Linked DNA regions of Diceros bicornis minor. The protein of the gene in region 3 binds, or shares a complex with, the protein of the main gene of each other region. Links are inferred from orthologs where the notes say so. Each region holds a gene or a part of one and is shown on either strand. Other genes may lie near its edges.

Evidence for each region.
Region 1: NUP153 (region 3) and NUP188 share a complex: the UniProt entries of both Homo sapiens proteins name them as parts of the nuclear pore complex. The link is inferred for Diceros bicornis minor from reciprocal best matches to the Homo sapiens genes NUP153 and NUP188.
Region 2: NUP153 (region 3) and CETN3 share a complex: the UniProt entries of both Homo sapiens proteins name them as parts of the nuclear pore complex. The link is inferred for Diceros bicornis minor from reciprocal best matches to the Homo sapiens genes NUP153 and CETN3.
Region 4: NUP153 (region 3) and NUP93 share a complex: the UniProt entries of both Homo sapiens proteins name them as parts of the nuclear pore complex. The link is inferred for Diceros bicornis minor from reciprocal best matches to the Homo sapiens genes NUP153 and NUP93.

What each region holds. Positions count from the first base shown.
Region 1 is NC_080767.1:36,691,660-36,699,350, forward strand, and holds the start of NUP188 (nucleoporin NUP188), read left to right. Parts: upstream 1-4,680; 5' UTR 4,681-4,699; coding exon 4,700-4,731; intron 4,732-7,691. Other genes in the region: DOLK (dolichol kinase), read right to left, coding at 2,659-4,275. UniProt on the Homo sapiens protein: Component of the nuclear pore complex (NPC), a complex required for the trafficking across the nuclear envelope. Required for proper protein transport into the nucleus.
Region 2 is NC_080740.1:16,898,052-16,905,603, reverse strand, and holds the start of CETN3 (centrin-3), read left to right. Parts: upstream 1-4,542; 5' UTR 4,543-4,633; coding exon 4,634-4,650; intron 4,651-6,473; coding exon 6,474-6,609; intron 6,610-7,552. UniProt on the Homo sapiens protein: Plays a fundamental role in microtubule-organizing center structure and function. As a component of the TREX-2 complex, involved in the export of mRNAs to the cytoplasm through the nuclear pores.
Region 3 is NC_080753.1:49,678,034-49,685,949, forward strand, and holds the start of NUP153 (nuclear pore complex protein Nup153), read left to right. Parts: upstream 1-4,915; coding exon 4,916-5,026; intron 5,027-7,916. UniProt on the Homo sapiens protein: Component of the nuclear pore complex (NPC), a complex required for the trafficking across the nuclear envelope. Functions as a scaffolding element in the nuclear phase of the NPC essential for normal nucleocytoplasmic transport of proteins and mRNAs.
Region 4 is NC_080771.1:10,272,589-10,279,848, reverse strand, and holds the start of NUP93 (nuclear pore complex protein Nup93), read right to left. Parts: upstream 3,003-7,260; 5' UTR 2,909-3,002; intron 1,139-2,908; exon of another isoform or gene 1,052-1,138; intron 1-1,051. UniProt on the Homo sapiens protein: Plays a role in the nuclear pore complex (NPC) assembly and/or maintenance. May anchor nucleoporins, but not NUP153 and TPR, to the NPC. During renal development, regulates podocyte migration and proliferation through SMAD4 signaling.

The DNA.
Region 1 (7,691 bases), on a different chromosome or scaffold from region 3:
AGCCCTGCTGAAAATCACCCCAGGTCCCCCAGCCCAGCCTGGGGAGGGTTGCCTGATTTTTATACCAGTAAGTAACATTTCGTGGGTGCTCACCATGCCGAGAGCTCCACGTGCCTCGTCTCACTGAGTCCTCACTCCTTCCAGGTCTGGGCTCTCACCATCCACATTTACAGGTGAAGAAGCTGAGGCACGGGGAGCCCCAGTCACACAGCTGTGCAGTTGTTCAGCAAGGGCAGCCGGATCCAGGGCCTGTGCTTCTAACCTCTCCACTCCTGGGCCTCCTTGCTTGCGGAGGAGAAAGACCGGGACTGGGAATCCAGAGTCCCATATCTGGTCCTGGCTCTGTGACCAACTTGCTTTCTGGCCTCAGGCCAGGCCCTTCCTCTCTCTGGGTCTGTTATGCAACTTGCACAATCGGGGCCAGACGAGGGCCTCTTGCTTGGGCATGCTTGGCAGGCACCCAGACCTTCTGCGGGAATGACCACCAAATTGAAAACCTGCTTAGCTGGAGCCTGGCCTGGAGGTTGCAAACTGGGCGCCACTGGCTGATTTCAGACCACAGATGTGTTTTGTCTGGGCCTCAACATTTTTATGAAAACTTTTTAAATTTGGGAGATGTCACATAACAATCCAGGTCTGTAAGCTTCCTTGACTGGGCAGGTCAACCACACTGGGCCTGTGGTCTAGCATGGTGACGACTGGCTGGAGGTGTCCCCTTAGTGGCACGCGTCCTCTCTGCTTCCCACTTCCCCTGTCCTCCTTTGTGGCATTACCTGCCTGGCCTCAGCAGCCATGTAAGTTTGTGACCTTGATTTCCAGCCCCCACCGTCTACGTGGACAAACCAAGGCCCAGAGGACAGAGGCCTTTCCCAGGGCTGCCCAGGGAGTCAGTGAGGCAAAACTGTGCCCTCCTCCAGCGTTTTGCTGCCTCCTAGGCAAGCCGTAGACGGCAGCCTGAGAGAGGGAAGGGTTTCTTAAGTCCCCTCTGAGCCCCAAAGGAATGTCCTCTCCAGGAAAGGGCTTGGCAGTCATCCCCCGGCAGAAGCAAGAGCTCCCGAAAGCTCCGCTCCTGGCTTCTGGCCTTGGCGGGCCAAAGTTCTCACCTCTTCCTGCTACGCCCCTCCCTGCCACGCTGGGTAAGAAGGGGGCATAACTTCGTCCAGCCTCAGGAAACCTGCTCTGCTATTTTCCCACTGATGGGAAAGGTTCATCCATTCAGGAAACGTCTACTGAGTTCCTGCTACATGCCAGGCTCTGCTGGCACCAGGGGATGCGGTGGTGAACCAGGCAGACCCAGACTCTGTCCTCACAGAGAGCAAGGCTAGAGCATGGCCCCCCAAGTAGAGCTATTCTGACCTCTCAGTAAACTCTGTCAGCTCCCTAAGCTCTAATTTCTTGACAAGAGAAGAGACAAACACAGGTTTGGACAAGACTGGAGTGTGAGAGGGTCTCAGGAGGGACCCCTTGACAAGGATCCTGTGCTGTCCAGCCGGTCTTTCATCAGCACCACTCAGCCAGGCAGCAGAGACACTGAGGCAGGGGTGGGGTTGACTGAAACAGGAAGTCAGCCCAGAGACTGATCCTCTTCCTTCAGCCCTTCCACACACGCAACAAGCTGATCCCACCTCTCCCCTTCAGCTCTTCCTAGTCCAAATGGGAGAAACCACATGCACTTGGCTCTTTTCCTCTTGGGTTCTCCTGCAAGTGAAGCCAGGGGAGTAAGGTTCCTCTGTCTCCGAGGACACCCCAGAAACTCTCTAGCTTGCCTGGCTTTTTGCTGAGATGAGGACTGGCCTTGAGTAATCATAACACTTTCCCTTACTGATTGCTCACGATGTGCAATCACTGGGCTGGACATGTCATACACCTCACCTCACTGGATCCTCACACCACCATGTGAGGTGCCGGCTCTTATTATTCTCATCTTGCAGACAGAACTAAGCCCCAGAGTGGTTAAGCAACTCACACAGTTGAAGAAGTGGTGCAGCCAAGGATTCTGACCAGATTACCTTGACAGCAGAACCTGCAGTGTTAACCATTACGCTCTCCTGCCTCCAGTGTCCACTCCGGCCTCCTCTGAAGACTGCAAGGCAGGGGACGGGGGGCTACAGCACACTCAAGTTCTTTGATTTGTTGCAATATTCTTTAATTAAGCCTTTTTGCTTTTTATTTTTAATTTTTTTGTGAGGAAGATCAGCCCTGAGCTAACATCCATGCCAATCCTCCTCTTTTTGCTGAGGAAGACCGGCTCTGAGCTAACATCTATTGCCAATCCTCCCCTTTTTCCCCTTTTTCTCCCCAAAGCCCCAGTAGATAGTTGTATGTCATAGTCGCACATCCTTCTAGTTGCTGTATGTGGGATGCCACCACAGCATGGCCGGACAAGCAGTGTGTTGGGACGCGCCCAGGATCTGAACCCAGGCCGCCAGTAGCGGAGCGCGCACACTTATCCGCTACGTCACGGGGCCGGCCCCATTGCTTTTTAAATATTAGCGAAACGAAAACCCGGTGATCTTGGATTTTTATTTTGAATCTGAATCAACTGAAAAATCAAATCTGCTTCTCACTCCTTGGCTCTTCATGCCCAACTGTCTGGCTGCTGTGGGGACCATTCATCCTCCCCTTGGCCCTGTTTCCTCCATCACTGCTGCACAGCAGCTAGGCCATCAGCAATATCAGGAGGTAGAGAGGCAAAAGGAGATTGTCTATCTGTGTAGTGTATGCTTCGAGGAGGGACACGATGCTGATGGACCCCAAAATCCAAGCATAACTGTAGTTCAGGTCTACTCCACTGTCAAAGATTAAGATCAGAGCTACAGAAATGATCTGGGCAAATATAGACGTCATGGTCCCCTCAAAGGTCTTTTTGGTTCCAGGCCAGCGGATCTCCCCCATAGCACTGCCGAAGATGGAGGCCACCGTGTCACCCACACCCACGGCCAGGACGCCTGCATAGGGGACTAGGGCCCTTGCTCCTCCTAGACTACCCTTCTGTGTGCAGGGTCTGGGGACTAGCCAAACGGGAAGAGACACGCCAAGGAGCAGGTAGATGTGTGTCAGGATGAGCGGTCCACTGTCTCGTTCATCCAGGAAGAGGGACAGGAGGCTCCGCAGAGTGTGGCCCAGGGGCTTGATGCGGAAGTAGCGTACATACTCCAGGAAGATGAAGACTGCCAGACATACGGTGGCGGCCACGTAGAGCAGCGTCCGGTCAAAGATGATACCTGGGACGTAGGTGGCCACTACAATGAAGTGGAAATACTTTCGGGCAATGGTGGGGGCCTGGTGCTTTTTGGACTCAGAAGATGAGCGCTTGGCATTCTGGTACAGCACCACCAGGCAGGCCAAGGTGGCCAGCAGAGTCCAGTAGGCTAAGAGGTAGATGCGGGTGTTTGTCTGGAGGAGGAATTGAAGAAGCCAGAGCAAGGGGTTCCTGCGGATGAGCCGGTGCAGCCAGGGCAGGACCACACCCAGACCCAGCACACAGGTCATGAGGTGGAAAAATATGGAGGAGGCCCAGGTACCTGAGTCCATGAAGACAAAGAGGGTGCTGAAGAAGATGCCCATGAGCACCATTCCCACTACCACCACTAGCAGGAAAAAGTCCACTGGGTCCCCCTGGCTTTCCACCACAGTCAGGGAGCGCTTGATGAGCTGGTTGAGCATGAAGCTGATGCCACCCAGTACCAGCAGTGCCTCCCCAGGGGTGAAGCAGCGGGGCAACAGGTACAGCAGGATCATGTTGAGATAGACGAAGATTAGCAGGACCTCCAAGACCTCGATCACCTCTCCCACACTCAGTGAGTGCTTCATGATATATATGATGACACCTCCAGCCAAGCCCGAGATGACACAAGTGTTGGTGGGCACCGGGCGAGTGATGCCCAGCGCCAACACTGATGAGAAGAGGGCCACTGCCATGCCAGTGGCTGCCACCACAATTCCAAAGCGTTCGAAGTATGGGTTCCCCGCAGACTGGCAGCGCTCCTTCATGACCAGTCCGAGCAAAGGCATGACCACTGAGGTGGGCAGTAGGCCACTGTTTGCGGACGTTCGGAACTGGAAGACAGCGCTCCCCTGCTGTAGCAGCCGGTCCCACTTGTACTGGACGTAGAAGGCCTGCACTGCGAGGGCTACGGCGCACCACGAGTATCGGTCCCACACGGCCGCGTGGATGCTCAGCACCACTGCGAACACCACTGCCGCCTCTGCCAGCACCGACCCGCTCAGCGGAGCCCCGGTTCCCGGGGCCGGGGGAGCGCAATCTCGGGTCATGTCTCTAGACCTGGGACCCCGGGGAAACCAGGGTGATTAGGGACTCCGTGGACTCTGGGCCCCTCAAGCCCCGCCAGGCAGAAAGCGGCAGCTTCACCCAGCCAGCACCTTCTCTCTCCGTTCTCCAGCTGCGAGGAGGAAAGCTCCACTGTAGGCCACTCTCTGCGGCCCGGGTGCTGGCGCCCGGTCACCCCTCACCGCCTCTCATCTACGTCGCAGACGTCGCCATTCGGCCGCCTTCCTCACAGCCTCGGCCGCCCTCGCCGCAGATTCCTCACCTCTCAGGGCAGCGCCATCTTGGCCCCGCCCCACCATGCCATCACGTGATGTAAGGCCCCGTCCACGCGCCAGCCGGGGGGGGGGGTGGGTAGGTCACGTGGGCGCGGCGTCTGGGGGCGGGGCTGGGGCGCGCGGGCGCGCGAAGATGGCGGCGGCCGCCGGCGGGCCGTGTGTGAGGTGCGGAGCGGGCCGAGTTGGCGGGGGTGGGTGTGAGGCGCCGAGTCCTAGCCGAGCGGAAGCGGGGCGGGAGTTGGGGCGAGATGTGGTGGCGGCGGCGGGCGAAGCCCGGCTAGGCGGACGGGCGCCGAGACGGGAGGCGGTTACGTCCAAACTGTCCCGGCGCGCGGGGATCTGAGGTGACTTCTCCGAGAGGCGGGCCGGTGCCTCACCCCTTCGCTCGGCGCCGGCCTCCTGTCTCCTCGCTCGGGCCCTTTCTCTCCTCCCCTGTCCCCGCCGGCGCGTCCCTCGGCGCCCCCCCGCGCTTCCTCGTCCGGTGTGACGCTCCCTCGAGGCGCCCCGGGGCACTTCGCGGTCGCGGGGAGCCCCCGCCCCGGCCCGCCGCCGCCTCCTGCGCTGCCCGGCGGCGCTCCCCGGGTCCCCATGTGCTCGTGCTCGGAGTCGCCGAGCCCCTCCGGGCAGTTCTGCTCTCCGTCCTCGCGCGGCCTTCCATTCATCCGTCTGTTCCTCTCCTCGTGCGTCGGTTCCGTCCGCCAACCTGCCCGCGTTCTCGGGGAGGCCCCGGCGCCGTCCTGGGCTTGGGGACAGGGGGTGAAGTAGAAGCAGAAAGAGACAGTTGTTACTTCCAGGGCGCTTCCGAGCGCCGGCCCCCGCGCATGTCCCTGGAACTCTCCCGACTCCGTGGGCACCTTGGGCTTCACCGATGGCTCGCGGGTCCGGCTCAGAACTGGCTGAGCGGTCAAGCGAGCGTCCAAGCCCGGGTCCGAGGCTTTAACCCGATCCCCGCACCTCCGTCTTCCAAGTTACGGCGTGAAGCGTCGCCCTTCTCCCTGCCGCCCTCCCTCCTGAAATGAGCTAAACGTTCCTGTCGCTTAGTGCTCCCTGGGCCCGCGGTGTTGCCCCGCTTCGTCTGTTTCGCCGCTGTATCCGCAGCCCCCAGAAGAGCGCGTAATAGGCTGCCAGAAAATATTTGTTATGAATGTTGCTCGTTTTATCTGATGGCACTTCCTTCACCTCTCAGCTCGAGGTTTTCTTCTCCGGAATTTCCATTGAACTGCTTCTGCACCTTGTGAGGACCAGTCTGCTTTTTCCGCCTCTGCTGTTTCATGTCAGCTCTCATGTTGGGCAGCATTGTGGTCACTGTGCCCTCCTTTTCTTAGGCTTAGTTCTTAGTCGTTGGGGAGTTTGGGTCAAGTTTAGCTCTTGCAGGGTAAGGCGCGTTCTTTGATGAAAGAGAACAAGGGAAGGAAGGCATTGGTTTGCCTGAAAGATGCTTTGATCATCCCGGGGAACCTACCAAACTCATGCCTGACTGCTTTGCTCCTAGCCCCTGTTAGGAGAATGCACTTTCTTTTTGTGCTGGAAGGCTCCTTACAACGACTGGGGTTATACTGAGCAGCAGCCTTCTGTTTGAAATGCTTGGAGGTCTGGACTAGGAGAAAACTGAAATTCTGTTCCTGCTGCCTGCTGATTTGCAGATGACCGCAGACAGGCCAGCTTACCGTTTGAGCCTGTTTCTCCAAGTATTTCAGAGTAACGGTGAGGTGGTTCTGAAGCATGTAGGGAAATCATTGTGAAAAATAGAGTAATATCCTTAAATCACTCAGGGTTTTGGGAAAGTCAGGGTTTTGCAGAAAGTCAGTTTGAATATTGACATTTTTGGATGTCTCTTAGTGTGTGTTCTTCAGTTAGTGTGTTTGTAGAAGTCTGAGTGGTGTACGTGTGTTAAAAAGACAACTGTGGTTTGAAAAGGTTACTGCTAAGCTTAAATCTCAATTCATGCAAGAGAGTCATACTTCATCCTTGGAGTCAGGGGATCCGTGGGCAGTGGGCACTTTTATTTATCATCTCCATGGGGAATATCACCATGTTTCTCACAAGAACTATCTCAGAGTAGGTTGGCTGTGTCTCAGCCTTCTTACCAAAACGACTCAGTTGTAGAGACTTATTCCTAACCTAGAAGCTTTCCCCCAAAGGTTTCCAACCCCATGGATCTCTCTAAGGAAGATAGCTTCCAGTTTCTGTTAACTCCAGCTCTTTTAGGAATGGAGTTCCATGTTGTCTGCTAGAGCATTGGACTGGAAGTCAGTAATTTTGTGTGTGTGTGTGTGTGTGTGTGTGTGTGAGGAAGATCAGCCCTGTGCTAACATCTGCCAATCCTCCTCTTTTTGCTGAGGAAGACCGGCCCTGGGCTAGCATCCGTCTCCATCTTCCTCCACTTTATATGGGACGCCGCCACAGCATGGCTTGACAAGCGGTGCGTCAATGCACGCCTGGAATCCAAACCCGCGCACCCTGGGCCGCTGCAGCGCAGCGCGCACACCCAACCGCTTGGGCCACTGGACCAGCCCCTCAATAAGTTTTTTAACTTTACTTTTGAGGCGAGTTATTTAGTTTCTGTGCCTTAGTTTCTCCTGGAAATACTTAGCTCAGATTTATTTATTGTGCAAATAAATGAGCGATACTGTAGCAGTTAGTTTGTTTCTTGAAAATACGTGTAGAAGATGTTACCCTGAGGCTTTGGATTGGAAAGCACAGTTCCATCTATGTCTGTTGTATCTTGAGAATCACCTGCTCAAACCTTCAGGTCCCAATTTGAGGTGAAGTTTTCATTGATCCCTGCATTGGTTCCCAGTGAGCTCTCTCTTCTCTGACTCTTTTCTGCCCCGTGTGGTTATATTCCTTTGTGGTGTGTAATTGTTAGGATCACGCCGTTTATTACTTTATACTTTTTTGCTGATTGTGTAATGTGTGTTTAACATCCTTTGTCATTCGCAACAGTAAGCTTATGAGCATTGTGATGGTCTTAGATTTGTTTGTATTCCTATTATTCCTAGACCATAAATGTGTAGGAATTGAGGAACAAGTAACACTCATTGCCACAAGGATTCCCTTCCTGGTAAACTACAATCTTCTCCTTCATTTTGCCTTCTCTTGAGACTTCTGCATATAATGATTTG
Region 2 (7,552 bases), on a different chromosome or scaffold from region 3:
ACAGAGCCGGCCCTCATACTTGATTTTTTGTCTTGAAAGGGACTAGAATTCTAAGTTCAAAATAATTTCCCCTTACAATTTTGAAGGCATTACCTTCTGGTATCTAATGTTTCTGATGAGAACTCTGATACTAGTTCAATGATTATTCTTTTACAGGAGATGAGATTCTTGCATCTGGAAGCTAACTTTTTCTTTTATTTTTGATGTCCTGAAATGTCTTGTTGATGTAGCTAGGTGTGGTTTCTTTTACCATTTATTTTGTTCAGTACTAGGTGTGTCCTATCAATCTGGAGACTTGTCACTCTTCAGTTCCTCAAAATTTTTCTTCTATTATTTCTTTGATATTTTTCTGCCTCTCCTTCATTTGTTGCTCTCTGTTTCTGGAATTCCTATTAGTCATATGATGCACCTGTTGCATTAGTCTTCCATGTTTTTCAATTTTTCCATGTTTTTGTCTGAATGCTGTATGTTCTGGGATATTTCCTCAATTAAATCATCTCACCACTCTATAAAATTTTTAATTTCTGCAATCATATGTTTATTTTCAACAGTCTTTTCTTATTCTCAGAATGTTCCTTTTTCGGAGTATCCTATTCCCTAATACAATATTTTTTGACTACCTCTTAGGAAGCCTAATGTTATTAATTTATTATGAATTTCTTTTGGTTCCTAAGTTGTTCCTAAGTTGACTCAGAGTCTTCCTAGATAGTTGTTTTCCTTTGTTTTATTTTTCATTCTGTTGATTTTCTTCATATCTCTAATGGTTTTTGATTCTTCATTCATTTTTAAGAGTGGGGTTCAAGATAAACATGGAGAGAGAGAATACTGGTGAGGGGAATCTGGAAGAATTGAAGTGCAGTGGTCTCCCAAAGAGTTTTTTTTTTTTTTTTTTTTTTTTTTTGCTGAGGAAGATTTGCCCTGAGCTAACATCCATTGCCAATCTTCCTCTTTTTTGCTTGAGGAAGATTAGCCCTGAGCTAACATCTGTGCCAATCTTCCTCTATTTTGTAGATGGATCACTGCCAAAGCATGGCTTGACAAGTGGTGTAGGTCCGTGCCCCAGCGCCCAGGATCCAAACCTGCGAACCTGGCTGCCAAAGAGGAGCACATGGAACTTTAACCACTCAGCCACAGGGCCGGCCCCTCCTAAAGAGCTTTTGAATTGACATTTTGTATTTAGCCCTCTTCTCACTTCCATCCTCGACTGTACCACACAACTCTACACCTAGAGTCTCTCTTGGGACTCTGAGAGGTAGATCAACTCTTTCTGAAGCTTTAGTCACCCCCTACAAATCCTGAGATGCCATTTTGATGATCTCATTTGTCAACAAGCTCTTTTGATCAAAAAATATGTCAATATATCTCTTTTGGTCTTTCAGATATTTTTTGAAATACTTTGTCTGCTGGTGGTACCTCTCTAGGTCACTTCAGTATTAGAAACTAATTTCTCAACTATTGTTTTATTAAGGTTTCAGGAGGAAGACTAAACAATTACTAATGCTACTACCTTCTTAAACCAGAAGTTTTAACTACTTTTGGCTTTGGCTCTGGACTTACTATTCTGATTACCATAGTAACAAATACATTTTGATATCCTGTAGAGCAATTTTTGTATTATTATTCTTTTTCACAATTTTTAAGTTATTTTTATGCAATTATTCTTAAGACAATCTTTAGAATAATTTTGTTAAATTCGAGAAAAAAATGTGAGCATTTTTATTTTGATTATACTAAATTTACAGATTAATCTAGGACATAATTAACATTTTTACAGTACTGAATCTTCCCATCTAGAAGTAGAGCTTCTTTTTCAATTTATTCAAATTTCATGTCCTTTAGTAAAATTTTGTGATTTTCTACCTACAGGTTTCCCGTTAAATTTATTTGAAGGAATTTCGTATTGTTATTATTCTTTTATTTTGCAAATGCTTATTGATTTTGCAAATTTCTCTGATCATCAGCTACTTTACTGAATTCTTTTATCAATTCCAATACTGTGATACTCTTGGATTTTTCCAGGTAATCATTTCATCCACACATGATGTTAATTTTATATATCACTTTCTTTTCCTGTTTTATTACAGCATTGATTAGAGTTTCAAAGATAGTGTTGATAACTGCTTTAAAGGTGTCTGTAGCAGAGCTGCTAATCCCATCTTATCTTTAGTAATAGACGATCTGACCCCAAGTTTTAGCAGGGCACACAGTTTTCCAGTTAGAGATTTCTTTTCCCAGCCTCCCTGGTGGAAAGGAGTGGACATGTCACTAATTCTCACTAATAAAATACGAGCAGAAGTGATGCATGTGACTTCCCTGTCATTCCTACAACAGGATATCCTGTTGAAAACATTTTAATTTAACATTTAAAAATCTATCTTCCCAAATTATTTGCCCACAAATATTTGCCCACCCATTCTTCATGAAATTACCACAAACAAAGCACAAAATTCTAGTGTTTCAGGGACTAGGTTTGAGAAACACTAGCATTTTAAGTCTGTTGCTCAAGTTAAAAAAAAGTACCTTTTATATCTAGTTTATTAATATATATTTTATTAGGAATGGGTGTTGAATATTTTCAGTGCCTTTTTGGACATTGAGATGATCTCTTTAACCTAGAATTATAATTAATTAATACAGATTTATATTGTGAACTATCTTTGCATTTTTAAAATAAATTCTATTTGGTTATAGTGAAATGTTCCTTGAAGATAATACCAAATTGATTTTGCCAACGTCCACGATTTTTGCACATATGTTCACTAATGAACATAAAACACGAGGGAGGCACATACAATGGTGAGCGATAGGCACACAGTCTCATCATGGAGCATACATTCAGCGACTTGAAATGCTGTTTAGGATGATAAGGGTTGTGCTAGTTTCAAACATTAAGCTAAGAAGCTCTCCCCATCATGCTTTGAGTTTAAAGCATAAGAATTAGCTCTTCAAGAATTTTTAAAACTCACCCATAAATCTGAGTGGGCTGGATGCCTTTTTATCTCTTGGTACAGAACTTGGGCATCATTTTTCCAGTCCTATCTACAGTTATTGACATAATTCAGTTTTCTGTCTTTTTTGAGTCCTTATCTGTTTTCCTTGAAGTGACTATGTCATTTTGATATTAATATTTATTGGCAGCATGAAGTCAGATAAAGTATTTTAATAATTTTTAAACCTCTCTTTTAAATTACCAACCTTATTAGTGGCAATATTCCCTTTGTTACACTTCCATACATCTGTCAGTTTTATTGGTATTGTCAGGAACCAGCTTATTTTTAGATTACGAGACTACCCTTTCTACTCTTGTTTTTTTTTGGGGGGCGGCGGCTATGCTGTAACTATTAATTTTTAGCTTTAGTCCATCATACTACCATTACTAGTCCAAATTTAGCTTATCCTTTAGGTCTAACATATACACCGTCTCCTTCAGGAAGCCTTTCTTCTGCCCTGCTGTGTTCTCTTTTCTCTAAACCTGTATACATATCTCTCTATAGATATATCAGTGTTTATATATCTTCCCCCTTCCTCTGCTCGACTCCCACCTTCAGGCTATTTTATTCCTTTATGAGATTTGCAGCTCAGGTCAGTACTTTCTGAGTTTTCACAGCAACATTCCATTCAATGCAACAAATATTTACTGAGCATCTATGCATCAGACATTGTATTAGGCACTAGGAATAACGTTAAACGCATGACGGAGTCCTGGCCTTGAAGAAATTCAGTCTAGTACAAGACATGAACAAGTAAACACATTCAATGCTCAAGGGAGCTTCAAGAGACTTGGTTTGGCAGTGTTATATTCGTGCAATTTACAGCACTGGAAAATAAGGGACATAAGCGAACAAATCCGTTAAAAGGAGGAAGAGCAGAGCCAAGGGCGGTGTAGGTACAGCTTCACCGTAAATAGCCTAATAATCCAACTCAGTTATTATCCAAAAATAATCCACAGCACCGGCCTCAGAATCACTCGACAGGTTGTAAGGAAAAAAGATGCAGATTCACACGTACTAGAATCAGATTGGGGGAAAGGGACATTTAAATCTGCGTTTTAAACAAACTCTCTGTGTCCTTAGGCCATCGGCCGTCCAGGTTTTAGAACACTGGAGCCAATTTCGCAGACCTCGAAGTTTGCTACTCCCTCCTACTAGCGGGAGGATGGCCTCCGGCGTGTTTCTTCTCTTCCCTCCCTCTCCTTCCCTCGGAGCCGTCCGTCGTGTCTCCGGAACGTCGCCCACAGGCCGCAACCCTCCTGGGGTGAGGCGAGGTGCAGCCACCCGCCACCCGAACCGCAACGCTGGGACTCAGACACTCAGATCTCGGCTCCGCAAAGGATTCGGGGAAAACTCAACAGGCCAATCCAGGAGGCGGGAGGAGCAGCGGGAGAGGCCGGCAGAGAGGTTTCGTTGATTGACGCGGAAGACGCCCAATGAGAGCAGAGGCCTAGTGCCGCCTCCGCCTTAATGGGCAGGACATTAGCAATTTCAACCAATCCAGCTCAGAAGTGACTAGCTCGTGGGAGGTCCTTGAGGCCGCCGAGGTCGTTGGTGTCTGTTGAACGGGTTGTGGAAGTCGTGCTGCCTTGGGTAGGGGTTTAAAGTCGTTCTTGAGAGAAACGTCTCTGTCCGAAGAGAAAATGAGTTTAACTCTGAGGTCGGTAATGAGGAGGCGGCAATGCTCTCCCCACCCCGCAGCGGGCCCCAGGGCGGGTGTGTGTAGAAGGGAGGCAGTTTGGAGCCGAGGCGAGAGGAAGGGGGATGCAGTTTGGGATGAGGGAAAGGAGCCTCGGCCAACCTTCCCGGGCCCGGACTCCCCACCCTGGAGCCCCTGGTGTCCCGCAGGTGATGAGCCCCGTGCATAGTCATGTCTGGCAGCACTGTGCTTTGGACCGCCAAAAGGACGAGTGGTTTTAGTAGCAAGGAGGAAGTGAAATATCGCGAGGTTTCATCTCGCGGTGTTTCTGCGAGAAATCAGGCCATGGAGCATCCATTCGTTCAGTTCCTCGCTCCTGGTCTGCAGCCTTAACCTCAGCTGCAGTACTGCTCACATACATACCTTTAAGTTTTGGAAGTAAGATAAAAGGCCTCCTTGCTCTTCTCTCGGGGCTCTGCTTTACGGTATAACCGGAGACCCATTTTAGTGACTTTAATTGGTAATGTCGTAGAGTTCCTTATTTCCTGAGTTTCTTTACCTTTCATTCTGTTCCAGCCTCTCACCCTCTCTTGCCCCTTCCCCAGCCCCATCTAGACATTTTACCTTAAAAATATCTATGTAGTTAACGCCACTCTAAAACGGTGCCGTGTTCTGCCAAGGGATAATCGTTGTCCTCTTGGATGGGGTCACTTGTGGGTCTGTTGTGGACTTGGCCTTCCGGAATCCTGGGAAGAGAATGACCCCGGGAATGTCCAAGCTTGTGTGAAGAAAGATCTTCCTCAGCTTTGTCATGCTCCTGGTCCAGTTCTAGCCATCTCTTGCCTGTGTTTTTTTGTAGATTTCGGAGAACAAAACAACTTCAAATGCAAATAGAGAAGGTGTTCTAATAAAAGTAACTGGGTTTTACGTTTTATCGTTTTACAGAATTCTTCTGTTTCAAAATTTGTTCTCAATTACAAGTGTTGCAGCCCCATTTGAAAATTTGGAACACTTAGATCGGCATCTCTTAAGGAAGACATTTCTGGCTTTTAAAATAAATTTCCTTTTCAAGTTTTTCCAGAGTTCGTGAGAAATTAAGTTTACATGTTAAGAGAGATTTAAAAAGACCATTGATTCTTCACGTAATTATATGGAATTAGCCCAAATAGTATTACTTTTTTTGGTGTTTAATCGTGATATTTTTAGACTCAGTATTTTGGCTGATTCGTTAATATCAACGGAAGAAATTATAAAATGCCAAACTATTAGAAACATGTAATAGAAAAACATTTTTAACTTACAGTGCCAAAACACTTTGTAAGTTAGTTGGTAAATTATATGTTTTTGTGTAGCAGTTTTGATAACTTAATGATAAACTATCAAAAGTAAACCAAATATATAGTGATGGTCAATTAGGAATTTTACTTTCTTTTTTTTAACACTTTATATCGTAGAATGATGTGACTAATAAGTGTGGGTGCTTTGTTTTTTGTTGGGGTTTCTGACATAAAAGTAATGTTTCTTATTCACAGTTTTTGTTTGTTCCACCGTGGGAATAAACACAAAGCTAGGAGGAAGGATTTGGTCCTCATTTCTTTTAATAACCTGTAACACTTTTCAGTTTTGGGAAGTGCCGATTTATAATAGCTTAGACTATGGAATGAGCAGGGCTTTGACTCATGTAAGGGAAATTTATCTTTCTTCAAAATACCTTCTTTTTAGAAATTTAGAAAATTATTCGTTGGCTAATTTTTGTGTTCCATTTTTGGAATCTTATTTTAATCATTTAGAGGCATAGGAGAATAGGATTAAAGTGAACTAAAACTTTTTGTTTCATTTCATAGAAGTGAGCTTGTAGTAGACAAAACAAAGAGGAAAAAAAGAAGAGAACTCTCTGAGGAGCAGAAACAAGAAATTAAAGATGCTTTTGAACTATTTGACACAGACAAAGATGAAGCAATAGATTATCATGAATTAAAGGTAATAGTATACTTAAAAATTTTTTTTTCTGTTGAAATGATTTGCATTTTTGACTTGGTTAAAAATACATTTCTAAATAAGTATTTTAGCAACTAAACTTTTTGGAAATATGAAACCATTTTAAACATTCACAGTTAAGTGCTATAATAAAATTGAATAGTACTCCTAACATTTTTTTAGAAACTCCTTTTCACATGGTAAAGTGAGTAGTATTTTAAATGTAAAAATACATTCCTATGGAGGGACTTATTTTTCATTCACGTAATTAAAAGATTTCAAAACTGTAGGATTTAATCAGTTCTTATTATATTCTTCCCACTGGGTTTTTTTTTTTTGGTGACTCATTCTTTTCTCAGATTGGAGGAGTGTTGTCTTTTAATTTGAACATGTTAGTAACACAGTCTCAACCTACTTTCTCTGGTGCAAACAACATAAGTGATGTTTGATGTTGACACAATGCTAATGGGGAAAAATGTCAACTTTAAGGGCTAGAATTATTTATAAAGATACAAGGGGAAATTGGTGTTTGGAGTAGTATGGATCTCACACTCAGCATAATGAGAAAGGTAGCATTTTAGTAGCGTTTTAACTCTCTTTTTCCACTATTTTTTTTTTAGTTACCCAGCTTTGCTCAATTCTACCTTTATGCCTCATCCATTTGTTGCCATTGTTACTATCTTGGTTTGGGATCTTAATTCATACCTGGAGCTTCCTAAATGGTTTCTCCATTTCTAGTTCACCCTGTACACTTCCATTAGATTGATTATTCTAAAATTCTTTTAATAGATTGTTCATTGCTGATAAACCATTAGTGGCTCCTCATTGTACACTGCATGAAGTTCAGATTCCTTTGATTTTTATTGAATGCTCTCCACACTTTTACTACCACCTACTTTTCTCATTTGCTAACTGCTTGCTTCCAGCTGAGCTCTTCCCATTCAGG
Region 3 (7,916 bases):
CCTGGGCCACTGAAGCAAGCGTGCTGAACTTAACCACTAGGCCATGGGGCTGGGGCTGGCCCCCAGAATTGTCTTACCTTTTGAAGAATATATAGAGGAGGTTTTTCATCCAGGTTGGGCTTAGACTAAATTGTATTTCATTTGTAATTAGTGGATATTTCCTATCTCTTAGAGAAGGGTCAGCAGCCTCTCTATTTGCTAATTTATAATTGGCAGACGGTTCCAATACTATATGGGGAAAAATAAAGAAGTTTCTTGGAGGACAGGGACTCTAATAATAATAGGCTTTTCATAAATTGAGATCTCTCCCAATACACCATCTGTTTTGGCTGAAAAAACCAGGTTCAAGTTTAAGAAAAGTGAAGTTGGGCTAATCTTTGTTTTCAGCTTGGTTATTGGGAAGGAATTCCTGTCCTTCTGTGTTTTGTGTCAGGTTCTGCCACTTGGTCTGAATATGAATAGCTCTTAGTTTTTTCTCTAACCTTCTATGATATACGTTGAATTCTGTTGATCTTGCTAACATAGCTTCTCTCTGAGATTTGGAGGCCTGATGTACAATATCCCTTCCACCAAAACGCCCCTGCTGATGTACACTCACTCCCATCCTACAACATGTCCTCATATCCCCATGCCATAATGGGAGTCCTTGCATTCCCAGGTGATCCTAAGCCAGCGATTTGAGTCTGGTCTCTCCAACGGCTATCACATCATACAGCTGGGCAAATATCCACTCTCACTATGCAGCAAGACTAGAACCAGGATCTAACAAACATTTAAGTGATAGGTAGGTTCCAAAACTGGCCAAAAAAATGGCAGAACGATGGCAAAGTGAGAGCATGGGCTTTGAGAGAGGAAGAGAAATCATTTCAAGTATTGACTGCTATTATTTTTAAAATAATTTTTTTAACTATTTTTTTATCCCTTCAGTAGTGCCCCAGTTTCAAATGAGGAAAATAATTTCTCTCAGGATTATTAGAATTACGTGAAAATCTCTATATAACATTATGATGGGGATTTGTTCATGATTCTTACAAACGCTTTATCAGGAATAAATAAATGAATTTGAGAAACATTAATTTGTTATGCAGTATAGTAAATGAATACAGGCAAGCCAGGAAAGGTTATATAAATCAGTTTAGCTGTTTTCATCATTGTACTATTTATTCTAATAAAATGGAAACAGTTGACATTGGTAGTAATTGGATATTGGGCAAATGAGCTATAGTATATACAGAGTGACTGTTAACACTGTTCTGTGTGTTCAGGATATAGCTATGAGAAAAATTCCTTATCTGCTAGGAGTTTAAAACCTAGTAGGGGAGAAATGAGTTTCTATTAAAATATACTCAGTGAAACAACCCAAAACATAAGGTCACTTCTCAGAATCATTTCAGTTTTGTCTAGGCCTAAAGACCAGTGGGAGTAGAAGTTAATAATAAAAAGGAAAGGATGAATAAAGAAGATAGCTAGCTCATAATACAAAATTTACAAGTGATAGCTTCCAATGCTGTGAACTACAGAATCTCATAGGGTTTTTAGGGATTAAATTTAATGATCTATAGAAATTGCTTAATTATAAGTACTAAATAATAATAATTTCCTTCCTCAAAACCTGTTAACTCTTAATATGGCTGGAAGGATTTCAAGAACCCCTATTATTGTTCCATGCCATTTGATATTCTTTCCAATTTATATATAGTATCTCTTAGAGAAATGTTCAATAATTATTTATTTGAATGCAGGTAGATTCTGTAAGTTATAATCAGAATAACTTATTATAACCCATTCTACTACTAGTAATTCCCACTTAAAGAATGAATTTTGTACCAAAAATGTGTGAGGAACTCTAGGTTTGGTGATTTGTAACTCCAAACTGAATTTCAGCACAGAAACAATGTTATTTTAGAATCTCAAACTATGCAAAAGAAGTTACTTCATCCCATAGTGAGGCTGATACTATTTCAAGGTAAAATTAAGAAGTTTTTTTTTATTTATTTATTTATTTCCCCCCCAAAGCCCCAGTAGATAGTTGTATGTCATAGTTGCACATCCTTCTAGTTGCTGTATGTGGGACACAGCCTCAGCATAGCCGGGGAAGCTGTGCGTCAGTGCGCACCAGGGATCCGAGGGATCCGAACCCGGGCCGCCAGCAGCGGAGCGCGCGCACTTAACCGCTAAGCCAGGGGGCTGGCCCAAAATTAAGAAGTTTTGAATGCGCATTTCTTCTTGTCTCTTATTCTCTCTCTGCTGTCAAGCCTGGTAAAGTTTCCAGGAACTCAATCACATAAATGTGGGACTAATGTATTCTTGTTCCCTCAAATGTTGTTTTACTTCAAAGAAATAACCGTAAAATGGGGTAAACAATTGAGATCAAGTCTAAAGGGGGATGTGGATTTTCCCATATCTCCTCAAATCCTACCAATTTTCTATTCTAAAGTTTCGTTTTAGTTAGGCCCAGCTCTTTTGCATGTCCCTTCCTTCAAAGCTTGGCTGTGAAGGCTGTCCCCACACATCAAATAGCCTCCAAGAAAGGGATGGGTTTTGAGTCCCAGCCAGTCCACTCTCCTGTGCTGGGAATTTTGAGTCCGGTGGGCTGAAAAGGGAAGATGGGATGTGGCTACAGTTCCATCTCCTATATATGAGCCCATTTAAAGATTTAGGTACAGATCTTCCCTGTGAGTTAGCTTATTAAAAATTACCTTACTCCGCTTGCCAAATACCTAGCTAAGAATTGTGAAAGACAAACAATTGTATTTAAGAAGGATGAGGTGCTTCCAGAAGAAGAGTATGCATACCTGGAGAGTCCAGGGGGGAGTCAGTGGTGTAAGGGGGCATGAAGCTAGGACAGGGAAGCACAAGAGCAAGTGGATTCATTCTGTCTATCATATTCTGCAACTTTTTATAGTCTTGGTGGTTACGGACAGGAGCGCCACTGAAAGCCGTCATTTGCTCTGTAAACCTAGGTCTGATACAACATGGTTCCTTGCAAATTCCAAGGTACTGTAAATTTCGTTTTACAATTTGACTTATATGATTTATACAGTGGTTTGAATTGTGCAGTTTGTTGGTGGAGATGGTATAAAAGTCTTGGAGTTAATTTATCTGTGTCTGATAGCTGGATGATGTTAGATGCTTTCTATCTAAGCAATCATTATGAGCTATAATATATACATTAGTCCTTTTATCAGACGCGCCACCCTGTTGAGGTTAATATTCATTCTGTTTGCAGATGAGAAAACTGAAGCTTAGAAAGAGGATCAGTAACTCCCCCAAGGCTACACAGCTAGTAAGTGACAGATTTGAAATTGTCTATTTGACTCTAAAGCTATTTATAAGCTTTAAGATCAACTGGCTCAAACAGAACATTAAGCCTATGTTTTTTCACAGTGGCAGATTTTTCTCCCTAATCATTCAGTTACTTGTCTCAGCTCTTACAGAAAAGTTGGGTTATAGTCCTGGCTTTGACTGCCCAGCTCAGTGTCCGCCAACATGCCACTTGGATTCTCTGGATCGCTGTCTTGTCCGTTGAATGAGAGGGCTAGACCGCGTGATCACCAAGACCTTCCTAATGGTCAACTCCTACAATCTCTATTCGTATTTTGTGGATTCCATCTTTGAGCCTAACTCACTTTCCTAAATATGATGCCTTCTATTTGGAGCAAATATATATATACTTTTATTACTGATAACAGACTGCTTACCTCTAATGTGAGCTGACTGCGTAGGTAATAATTGTAGCCATTTATTGTCTACCAGAAAACATACTAAGTGCTCTACGTAGATGATCACAACAGTTCTATAAGGTGGATTTTAAAGTTTCACGTTATAGAGGAGGAAGCCAAGGCTCAGGTTTTGACTTATCCAAGGTCAAGCCAGAGAGCAGCAGAGCTGGAATTCCAGCCTTTGTGTATTTGACGACAAAGCTCTTATATGTTTAATGGAACATTAATGAAACTGTATATATTTTCTAATTCTGCTTTAGGCTTAAAGATCATGGACATTATTTTTTCAACCAGTTTTTTTTCTTTTTATGTTATTAGCTCCCGTCTTTGATTTTATTATCTGCTTATTTTCTGCTCCCTTTATCAAATGATGGGGAGAAGTAGAGTGGGAACGTTACTGTTTTGATGTTAAATGCCTCTTTCAAAGTTTAAGTTTACAGCCAAGAGCGGCAAAGTGAACAGACTCTCTGGCTTTGTGACTTCGCGGCGATCCGCGCATCTCCTTCCTCGTCCTCCTGAGAATTCGCGTTCTTCCGCTGAACTACGTTTCCCAGCGGGCTGCGCGGCCAAGAGCGCGGGCTCGACAAGCCCTTCCTTCCTCTTCGCCTATCACGCGGTCGCAGCGTGATGACGCAAACTGGTCCGGCGCTGACGAGTGACGGCATTCTGGCTCGCGACCGCGGCGGCGGCCTTAGCAGCGGCAATAGGCGCAGCAGCAGCGGCGACTGCAGGGACGACGACGGCGGCGGGGCGGGCGCTGCGCGCAAAGGGGAGGGGTAGGCGGGCGGCGCCGGCGGCTTCAACTGCGGCAGCTACGACTAGGGCGACGGAAGAAGAATCCCCATCAGCCGGCCGTCGAGTTAGGCCTAAGCGCCCGGAGCCGCTTCGCTGTCCTCTGCGGGGGATCTCCATAGAGACAGTGACATACACAGAGGCGGGGGTCCGCGGGAGGCTGCCGGACCGGAGCCAGCTCCTCGGCCTCTGTCGCCGCCACCGCCTGCCCCGCTGCCAGCGCGCGTCCTCTCGCCACTCCAGCTCGCAGCCTCGCCGTTCCTGGTGTGCCTGTGCCCCGCTGTGTGGGCAGTGCGGGCGGACTGTTGGGCTGGGGCCGGGCGGGGGTGCTCTAAGGCCGCCGCCTCTGCCTCTCCCGCCCCCTTACCCGCCCGGGAGGGGGAAGCAGCGGAGGCTCCGCCATGGCCTCGGGAGCCGGAGGAATAGGAGGGGGCGGTGGCGGCAAGATCCGGACGCGGCGGTGCCACCAGGGGCCAATTAAGCCTTACCAGCAGGGGCGACAACAGCACCAGGTACGGGACCCCGACGCGGCGGTGGCCTAGCGGGTCGGGAACTCGGCGGGAGGGAACAGGCAGCGAGGGGCCCTGGCGCCCCACGTGGAGCGGACGGGAGGGCCTGCGGAAAGGCCCGAGCGAGGCGGCGGGAGCGCAGGCGGGCGGGGTGGCGACGGGAAGTGGGCTGACACAGGCCCATCTTTGCGGCACCCACGTGTGGTTCGGGCCGCCTCTCGCCAGCCCTCCAGGCCAGGGGCTTCCCCTGGACGGGCGCAGGGCGGGAACAGCAACTCTAGGCCCACGATGCCCGCGTTTCTTTCGCTTTTGGCGGGGATTGGGGGGTTGAGGGTATTACTCACGTCCTCCCGAGGGAGAAAGGAAAAGATGTGGCTGGAGGCCTCTGCGCTTGCTGTTTTCTAGTCTCCCGCGTTTCAGTGCGTGTGGGGAGGGGGCTGCCCGGAGGGATCGGCCTCCGGGGGTTGGCGGGGGCGCTGTTACACAGAAAGTGGAATAACTTAGTCTCAACCTATTAATTAATTCTCCATCTCCTCTGCTCTTGTTCCTCCCCGATCTGAGAGCATTGGCTTAGATTTTTTTTTTCGTAACCGGGTTAGACTTACCGTGGCAGTGGGGCATTTTGAAAGTCCCTCTCCACCCTTACGTCTTTTCTCTGCTGCGAGACTCTTCCTTCTCCACTTTCTATCCCTCCCCTTCCCTTTATTTTGGAGGGTAGACTTGGCCGTTATGCACAGTTGACCGGGACTCCAGTTCTGGTCTCATGCACAAAATATTTTAATATTATGGGGCGTATTCTGGAAGTTTAGGTACTTTTGACATTCCAGGCATGTTGGTGGTCTTAGAATTTAACCACCTTGTGCACTCATGGGTGTTTGAAATTATGAAAAGGAGTTTATCCTAATTGTAAATGAGACATTTGAGTCTGAGGAAATTTCGTTTTTTAAACGTTACGTGTTTATTATGGGGATTGAGTAGGAAAATGTTAAAAACTTATTTTGATAAAAGTCACTAATAAAACTTCTCTGTGATGCTGAGGTGGGAAGTAAGTGTATATCTTAAACTTGTTAAAAAACAGAAGTACCGTACAGCAAAAGGGTCTGATAACTTGTTGCATACTGTTAAAGGTAGACTTCCTAGGTTGCCTTATTCTGGATGATGATGAATATTGGACACTTTAACATGTTTGGTAGTGGTGTTAAATTGTATCATTAAAAAACAACAGAATTTTAAAAGTAATGATTTGAGGGAAATTTTTTGATAGTAAAAATTGTGGTTTATAATATTAAGTAGTCCTCTACTAATGGTTAGAAGTCTTGGCATTACTATTATCTCTCACCAGTTTCCCCCCAGGTAAATATATGCAGAAAGTACTTGGTTTTCAGATTTCTTTGTGAGAAACAGGGGTATATACTTGCAGGCAGATTTAAGATTAGAATTCAGGTCACAAGCCTGGCCATTTAACCTAATCCTTTTGTAGAATGGAAGTTAGACACACATGCTTTCTGTTTCTCCTGAAGAATAAATGTCTGAGTGCTGTCTTAGGTCTCCCTAAGGGAAAGTTACTACATAAAAAATGAAATGTTTTAAATACAGATCATTGGATGGTCTGGACAGAGTTTAGAAAGGAGCTAATATATTCCAGGTGGCAGAAGTTATAATCACAGCTTACTTTTAAAGGTATTTAGATAAAAATCTAATTTGGGGGAGATGATGCCTTAACAACATAACACCTATGATCCAAATTGTCTTAGAGCTGATATAATTTCAGTGTAGTTTTGTTTTAGAGCTTGATAATTTTATCATTTCCCCTTATCAGAAATGCTTTCAGCTTCTTACCTCAGCCATTTAATTGAAAAAGGAAATACATTTTTAGCTTTTGGGTTGAGATTAAAGATGTTTGGGAGTTTCTTGATCAACACTGTAGGTGTTACTTAACATTGGCAGAAACTACCAAAGAAAAGTATGTGTCCAGGAGTATACAAAAGAATACTCTTTAATTTATCGATTTTGTTCATCTTAAAATAAGGACTTTCTTTAGTCTTTACTGGAACTTTTGTGGATTTGTAGACTACCTGCTTGCTGTACTATCCTGGGCTGTCACCTCTCTATGTTTTGCAGCAGCTGCTGAGTCATCATGAATATCAAGGAGCTTCATGACATGGCATGTTTTATACTAATGTTATTTGATTAAGTGTCTAAGAGTTTCTGGGCAAAAATGAAGTTTTGGGATATGTGGTAGAGAGTTGGAATAAGAATGAGAGGTCTGGCACTATTAGTTAATGGATGTTTGCCATTGCCTGTCAGGCCAACTGGCTTGTGCAATCACGCAGTCACGCAGTACCTGTGACTTTTGCGTGTGTTCAACTGACTTGTAATTTCCTGTTTTGATTTCTTCTGGTTTAGCTCTGCTGAGATAGATCTAGTTTACATTTTTTCCTTTTAACTTCTGATCTTTAAAATGGCATCTTGCTCGAAGTGGTGGAAACTTAAATCCATTGTCTTAACTAACTGAAGGGAAGCAACTTAAGAATTGAAGAAGCAAAAATGAAGAACAGCCCTGAGTAGTGTAAGTTGATCATTTTCACTTGCCTTCATCCCTACCTCCTAACTCTTAGCCCAGATGCATTTAGGAAATGGTGTCATTTTTCTAGTTGGGAGTGAACAGGTCACTAAAGAGGATGTGGTTAGTTCTTGTCACCTCTTCAGTCTCCTTTCCCGTTTCCTTTTTGTGCAGATTGTCAGGCCCAAAAAGTCAGCTCTGGAGAGGTCAAGCTGCTTTTTTTAATAGCCACCACAAAAAACTTGAGCCCACGGGCAAACCAGAACCTTGCCTCTGGAAGAATCTACTGCCACCTCCTGGTGAGAGGGAACTACTTATTTTTGCCCTTTT
Region 4 (7,260 bases), on a different chromosome or scaffold from region 3:
AAAACAATCAGCACCCACTCAATTCAGCCAGCAACCACCTGGGAGTCACCTCAGGCTCCCCTTCCTCTCCTTAACATCCAGCCAATCTCCAGGTCTACCTCTCAAACATTTTGTAAAGTTGAACCCTCATCTCTCTCGCCCCTATTCTGACTCGCATGCTTTTCGCCTGATTATCTCAACAGTCTAAGCCTTCTCATTCCTCTAACCCACCTTCCCCTGGGCAGGAGAGGTCTTTCTGAAATGCTCCCCTGCCTTAATCCTCTCAGGGACACCTTCCATCCCCTACAGGAGGAAGTGCTTGCACCTTGACACGGCTACACGGGGTGCCCTCCAAAGAACGGGCACTGCCACCCCTACCATCCTCATCTCTTACTGCCTTCCCCCCAAATATACCCTAGCAATTCACTACTCCTTGGGGTGCCTCATGCTGTTTCCTCCCTTCATACCCCTGCACATGCAGGTGCACACTCTGCTGTAACACATACCCAAACCTACCTTGTCACATGGGGGACTCCTATGTATGTTGCAAAGTCAGCTGGGGCAGTCCCACCTACCTCAAACCCCTCTCACACTATTCTGAACCTACTACTGTGCTTCTCCAGTGGAAGAGTTGTGATGATTTCTTGCCACATCTGTCTCTCTCTGCACATGGAGAATTCCTATAGGGTAAGGCCCACAGACTGCTCAACACTGAATCCTCAGCTGCTAAGAGGCATATAACAAGTAACAAATAAATATTTCCTGAATTAAAGCGACCTGTTCCCTGAACACACCTCAGGCCCTTACCTCCAGGTCTTTGCTCTCACTCCTCACTCTTCTTGGCATCTTTCCCTCTACCTTATTTTCTACTTCAGTCCATCAAGAAGCAGGTTCAGACATTCAAGTTCACTACATCTCCAGCTGATCCCACCTCAGGGTCTTTGTACTTGCTCTTCCCCTTCCAGAATGCTCCTGCCCCAGACATTCCCATGACTTGCTGTCTCATTTCAACCAGGTCTCTGTTCTGATATCCTTCTCCTTTAAAAAACAGTCCTGACACTACATTCTATACCTGTGTGTTTACTGCTGGTGGTGTCCTCCACAGGAACAACGGTTCAATGAGGGCAGGCCTGTCTCATTCACCACTGTATCCCCAAGCCTGTAACGGCGCCAGAAACATGCATTTATTTCATATTTATTGAGCACCTACTGTGTTCCAGATCTAGGTGCTGGGGATACACCAGGGAAAAAAACAGACAAAAAGCCCCCCTTCACATTCTAGAGGGGAAGACCAACAACACACAATATACGTAAGTAAAATATAAGTGCTAAGAACAACAACTAAAGCAGTAAAGGAAGGCAGGAAGTGGGGACAGCCTCACTAGGTGACCCCTGACTAAAAACCTCAAAGAAGTGAGGATGTAAACCACATAGATATTGAACTGCAGGCGCAAAGGCCCTGAGGCTGAAGCATGTCTGACATGCGGAAGGGGGGGGTAGCAGAAAAGGAGAGTGGGAAAGTAACAGTGGGTCAGATTATGTAAAGCCTTATAGCTCACTGTAAAGAGTTTGTCTTTAAACGAGGGACCCATTGGAGGATTTTTTGAGTAAAAGAGTGATACGATCTGACCTGTGTTTTAAAAGGATCCTTCTAGCTGCTGTGCTGAAGAGGGGCCAAGGCACCAGATGGGAGACTATTTCAATAATCCAGGTGAGAGGTGGTGGTGACTTGGCCCAGGGCGGCAATCATTGCAGGTGGAGTGAGACAGACAGCAGGGGCAAGGATGACTCAAAGGTTATTGGCCAAAGCCTTTTATATTACTGAGATGAGAAAAAACCAGCAAGAAGAGCAGTTTGGGAAGGGGGATGGGGGGGAGGGCTTGCTAGCCCTATCTTGACATCGTCAGTTTGAGTTCCCATCAACCATCCCAGTGGAGATATCAAGCAGGCAGCTGGCTGCAGGTGAAGGGAGAGAGCCAGGCTGGAGATATAAATATGAGATGTTAGCCTAATATGTAGGTATTTAAAACTATGAGCCTCGATGAGATTACCATGAATGAAATATGAAAACGTTCCAAACAAACGCACAAAGGAGAAGAGCGGAACGAAAGAAAAGCTACGATGCCCAAGGACACCCTCTCACGCCCCCAGACAGAATACTAAAGGTGACCCTCGTATGCTGAAAGACATTTCGGCCAAAACAGAAAAAAAAAAAACTCTCCTCACACCTGACAGAGGGGCAAACCCAGAGCAGCGGCTCTGTCAAAGGGTCGCCTAAACTTTGACCAAAGACCCCTGCGCTAAAAAACGAGACCCCGTAAACTTGGGCACTGTCTTTGCAGAAGGTGGGGTGCTGTGGGCCCGAGAAAGTGCAGGCCACCTGCGGGTTCTAATCACTAGCATCTCCCTGGATGGGGAAGAGCATTCCCCCGGATGCTGGTAGAGGAGCCAGGCCAAGGGCTGGGAGAGGCTCACAGCGTCGTCGCCCTCGCCCTAAAGACCCCTTCCCTCGGAGGGCAACACCTCCGGACAAGGTGTACCCCCGAGGGGCGAGCGAGCCAGCAGGGCGCGGTCGGCAGGTAACCAGAAGGTCGTGGTGGGGATGGTGGGCTCGCAGAGCAGGGGAAGGGTGGGGGCGTGGCGCGCCGCGGCAGAGCGCTCCAGCGCCGGGAGAGGGGAGTCGGGAGGCCCGGGCTCCGGACCCAGAACGAGGGCAGACGGAAGGCACTCCGGGGCGCGGCCCGCGCTATAACGGGGGGCGGTTCGCCAGGGCGCCGCGTCGCCGGCGTCACGCGTGCCCGGCTGCCATGAGGCGAACGGGAAGTGTGAGCAGCATGGCTCCGAGCGTGGGGACCCGGCTCCGCCCACGTCGGGGCCCGGGGTTCAAGGGCAAGTCCCGGGTCGAAGGACGCGGCCAGCTCACCCTTACCTGGCACCGCAGCCGCCTCCGCCGCTGGGGTCCCGGCCGGAGAACACCGCCGCCACTTCTCGCGCCGCTCGCCCGCGCTTCCTGATTGGCCGAGGCGGCCGCTCCCAGAAGCCCCCGCGCGGCGCGCCGCCAAATGAACTTTATGGAGACCTGTGGAGGAGGACAAGGACAAGGGCGGGGCTGGGGGCGGGGCCTGCGGCTGAGCAGTCACTCACGGCATGCCAGAGGCCACAGCCCTCACCCCTCCCACGTGGTTAGAGTCGGCCCTGCTTGGAGAAAGTGATTCCAGAACTGCCTGCAATGATTTCTTACCCTTTATTGAATACCATCCCAGTGCCAGGCACTATTCTAGGCGCTGGGGGCACAGTGGCGACCACGACAGACAAGATCCCTGACTTAATGGAGTTCTCAGGCTGGTGGGGGGAAAAATATAATAAATAACTGCCAGTTTGTAAGGAGAGCTAAGACGAAAAAAGCAGGGTGATGGAAAAGAGAATGCCTGTGTGGTCAGGGAAGGCCTCTCTGAGGAGGTGACAACGTCTCCACTGAAATATGAATGATGAGAAAGGGTCAGTCTTGCAAAGTCGTGGCTGTGGAACATTCCAAGCAGAGGGAACAGGAATGAAGGCTCCTCAGGGAAACAAACTTGTTGTTTGAAGAATAGAAAGAAGGGGCATATGGCCGGCAGAGGATGAATGAGGACAGGTGGGGTAAGACTCACAGTTGGCTGGGGCCAGACTTTGCAGGTGCTTCAGGCCATGGCAAGAAAGTTGAAGTTATTCTTCATGCAAATGGAAGCCACTGGAGGGTTTGAAGCAGAGGTATGACACGAGGTGTGACTTACCTTTGTAAAAGATCCTCCTAGCCCTCTAGTTGGAGAATGGAGAGTAGGCAGCAGAGTGGCACTAGGAGATTACTGCTTTGTCCAGCACATAAAGATAGTGGGACCAGGAGTGTCACAATGTCCATTCATGCAACATACATTAGTGCTCACAACGTCCCAAAATGAATAAGGCCCAGTCCTTATCATCAGGTCAGGAAGCAAGTACATAAACAGATTTTATTTCAGTGTAATGTGCTAAGTGCACGACAGAGCTATGTAAGGATGCTAAGGGAGTTTAACCCAGTCTGGAGGGTTGGAAGTCAAGGAGACCTTCCCTGGGGGAAGTGACACCTTAACTGAGCCATAAGGATGAGTAGCGATTAGCCTAGCAAAGAGAGAGGGAAGGTTTTTCCTGGTCTAGGGAATGGAGTAAGCAGAGGTAGAGAGGAGAGGAACAGTGCTCTGCCCACCCTCACCACGTCTTTCCTCTATCCTCTAACAAAGATTCCCTCCTTGACAGAACTCTAGCCAGGCTCCTCTGAGCCATTTTCTCTTCTAGGCCTCAACCATGGTCTATAAAGACTTGAACAAAACACTAACATAGTTTCTAACAGCTCAAGGTCGTATCCCTAGGTGACCCTAGCCCCTCTTAAAGTACCTGACTGAGAAAACTCTAGGCTGCCAGAAGAATTTACTGTTTGTTCTGGCCAATATCTGAAGATGGGGCCCCTGTCTCCCAGCCTCTGTGGGAGAGTAGGAGCCTAACTTCTATAATCGCCAGTTAGCAAACCCAGATGGTTTCATGTGGACCAACATTTCCTTCTCACTTTTTGTAATTTTTCACTTCCCTGACTCTGTGTAGCTCACCCCCTTCCCTGTTCTCTCATTCTCCCTTTGAAACACCCAGTCACCTCTGTACAAATCCAAGTTGAGTTCAGTTCCTGCTGGACTCTTCCCTATTGCAATAGTATATTACTGATTAAAATATGGTCTTACCACTTTAGTGTCCAGCTTTGTTTATCTTGAACACTTCACACTAGCATATTGTGGGTTCTGTATAAATTATTGGTGCTGATTGACAATATGTATGGGTGTGGCCTTTGTCCTAAAGCTATTAAATATGTATTCAGAGCCTGCTGTGGTCAGACAATATTCACAAATATAATAGTCTTGCATCTGCATAATGTTTTATCCTTTTACCTTGCTTTTTCTTTTATGTAAAGAAGAATTTTTAATGACATAGACAAATATTCATGAAACATTGCCAAATGAAAAATCAGGACACTTACCTTTTAAAGCTGGATATTTCCATATCGTAAAACCCAGCAATTCTACTCCTAGAAATATGCTCAAGAGAAACTCTTACACATGTGCACCAGGAGATATTTGCAAGAATCTTCATAGCAGCACAGTTCATAATAGCAAAAAAACAAGCCAAATGTCCATTAACAGAAAAAGGATAAATTGTGGATATTATCACAATGGCATATTACACAACAAAGAAAAATGAGTGTGCTACAGCTACAAACACAACATGGGTGGATCTTGGAAATATAATGTTACGTGGAAAAAGCAAATGTCAGAAGACTATATAGTATAATATGAGCTCAAAATTCCTAATAAAATTAAAAAGCAAGTAAAACTAAACAATATATTGTTTATGCATAGATACATTTGTGATAAAACTATAAAACATCAGAATGATAAATAGGAAATTACAGATTGTAATTATCTCTAGGGATAGGAAGGGATATGGGGAGGACCACCTGGGAAGATGTAAGGTATTGGATATGTTCTAGTTCTTGGGTTGGGTAGTTGGTTCATAGGTGTTGGTTATATTATGAATCACTATTACATATATATTACATATAAATAATTTTGTATGTGTAAAATAATATTTTTAAATAATAAAGGATAAAATGACCAAGAAGGGGAAAAAAGCAGAACAATATAACTGTAACTTCAACTTTGTTAAAAATACACATTAGAGAGAGAAAAAGAGAAGGAAATATGATAAGACGGGGACAGAGTCTCTCCTGGGTGGTTGGAAGCACAGGCAAGCCCTGAAAAGCTAGTGCACTTTTCATAGTTTCTGCAGTGAAATGACCATGCATTGCTCCTATAATCAGAAAAAATAACTAAAACTTGTTTTTTCATTTTGTTTGCACAAGAGTTAAAACAAACATCAGCTTCCCAATATTTACCCAGGTATATAATCCAAAGAATTTCCTTTGAGGATTCCAAACTTACCTCCAACCCCACTCCTTGAATGGTCTTCTTGTCCAAATGCTACAAAAACAAGAGTTTCTTTCTCCTGACAACAAGGTCTGTATCGGTGTGATTTGTGGAGCTGTTTCTGTCTATTAATTAATTATACAGTTTAGAAGAGTTTTCTCCAACATCGCTTTTTAACTGAGCTCAGAACTTACCAAGCACCATTGTCTGAGGCTTGTCCTGAAGTGTGCTCCAGGGTCCCCGTAAGACTTGCGCTTTCTCCGAGTCGGGGAATTGCACGTTCTTTCCTGCTTAAAAGAGATCTGGGGAGCAGCAGGGAATCCTTAACTCCCCCAATTTGCGCTGTTGGTTTCCAAACACTCTTTACCAATAAAACTCTTTTTTCAAAGGAAATCTTTGGTGGAGCACTTACATATAGCAGAGATTTTGCATGTGTTATGTACATGCCAAGTACATAACTTTACCTTTTTTGCCTGCATGGTCACGTTAAAAAATGCAAATCTTTGCACTCTTGTCTGGTTGAATTGGAGCACTGTCAGATATCCTTAGTCTTCAGATTAACTCGTTAAGTATATGGGATGGGCATCCAGTACACTAGACTGTATTACTGGACAGTGGGTCTCTAGTGGACATCTGCTGTTCAGCACCCTGGCTCCCCTTTGCCGACCCGCCCCTCCCCTACTCTCAGTCCCTGTATTTTGATTGGTGGCATGTGACTCAGGCCTAGCCAATCAGAGTACTCCAGTACCCTGGCCACAGGGCTGATTCGGGGATGGGTCTATGACTTAAGAAAATTCACTCTCAAGATGTTCCACTCAGACAATTGTTCTCTTTACCACTGGAATTAGAACTGTGAAGGTGTTTTCACAGAAGTTCTCACTCCCTGAAATTAACCTTTTAAAACTTTGATTGTTTATTAGCCATGAGGGAAGAACTTGCTTGGGAACAAAGCCGTTACAGAACAGAGCAATGCAGTGATGTAGAGAGAGGCTAGAATCCAGTATATTGTGTTTCTGGATCAAGCTAAAGCTAAACCTATTCCTGGAATGTTCTGTTGCATGAGAAAAAAAAGTGCATGTTTTCCTCACTTTCAGTTGGGTTTTCTGTCACTTGCAATCAAAATAATCCTGAAGGATGCAGGCATCACTTGAATCCTTTAGCAGCTCATCTAGCACGCTTGTTACAATGTCAGTAGGCCAGAATTCATTAAGCTTTTCCCAATCGAATGTCCTTGGCCCTCACGTGCAATATAAGGTGGTACTTTCAACAATGTTAAGAAGACTGTTTTCACCAT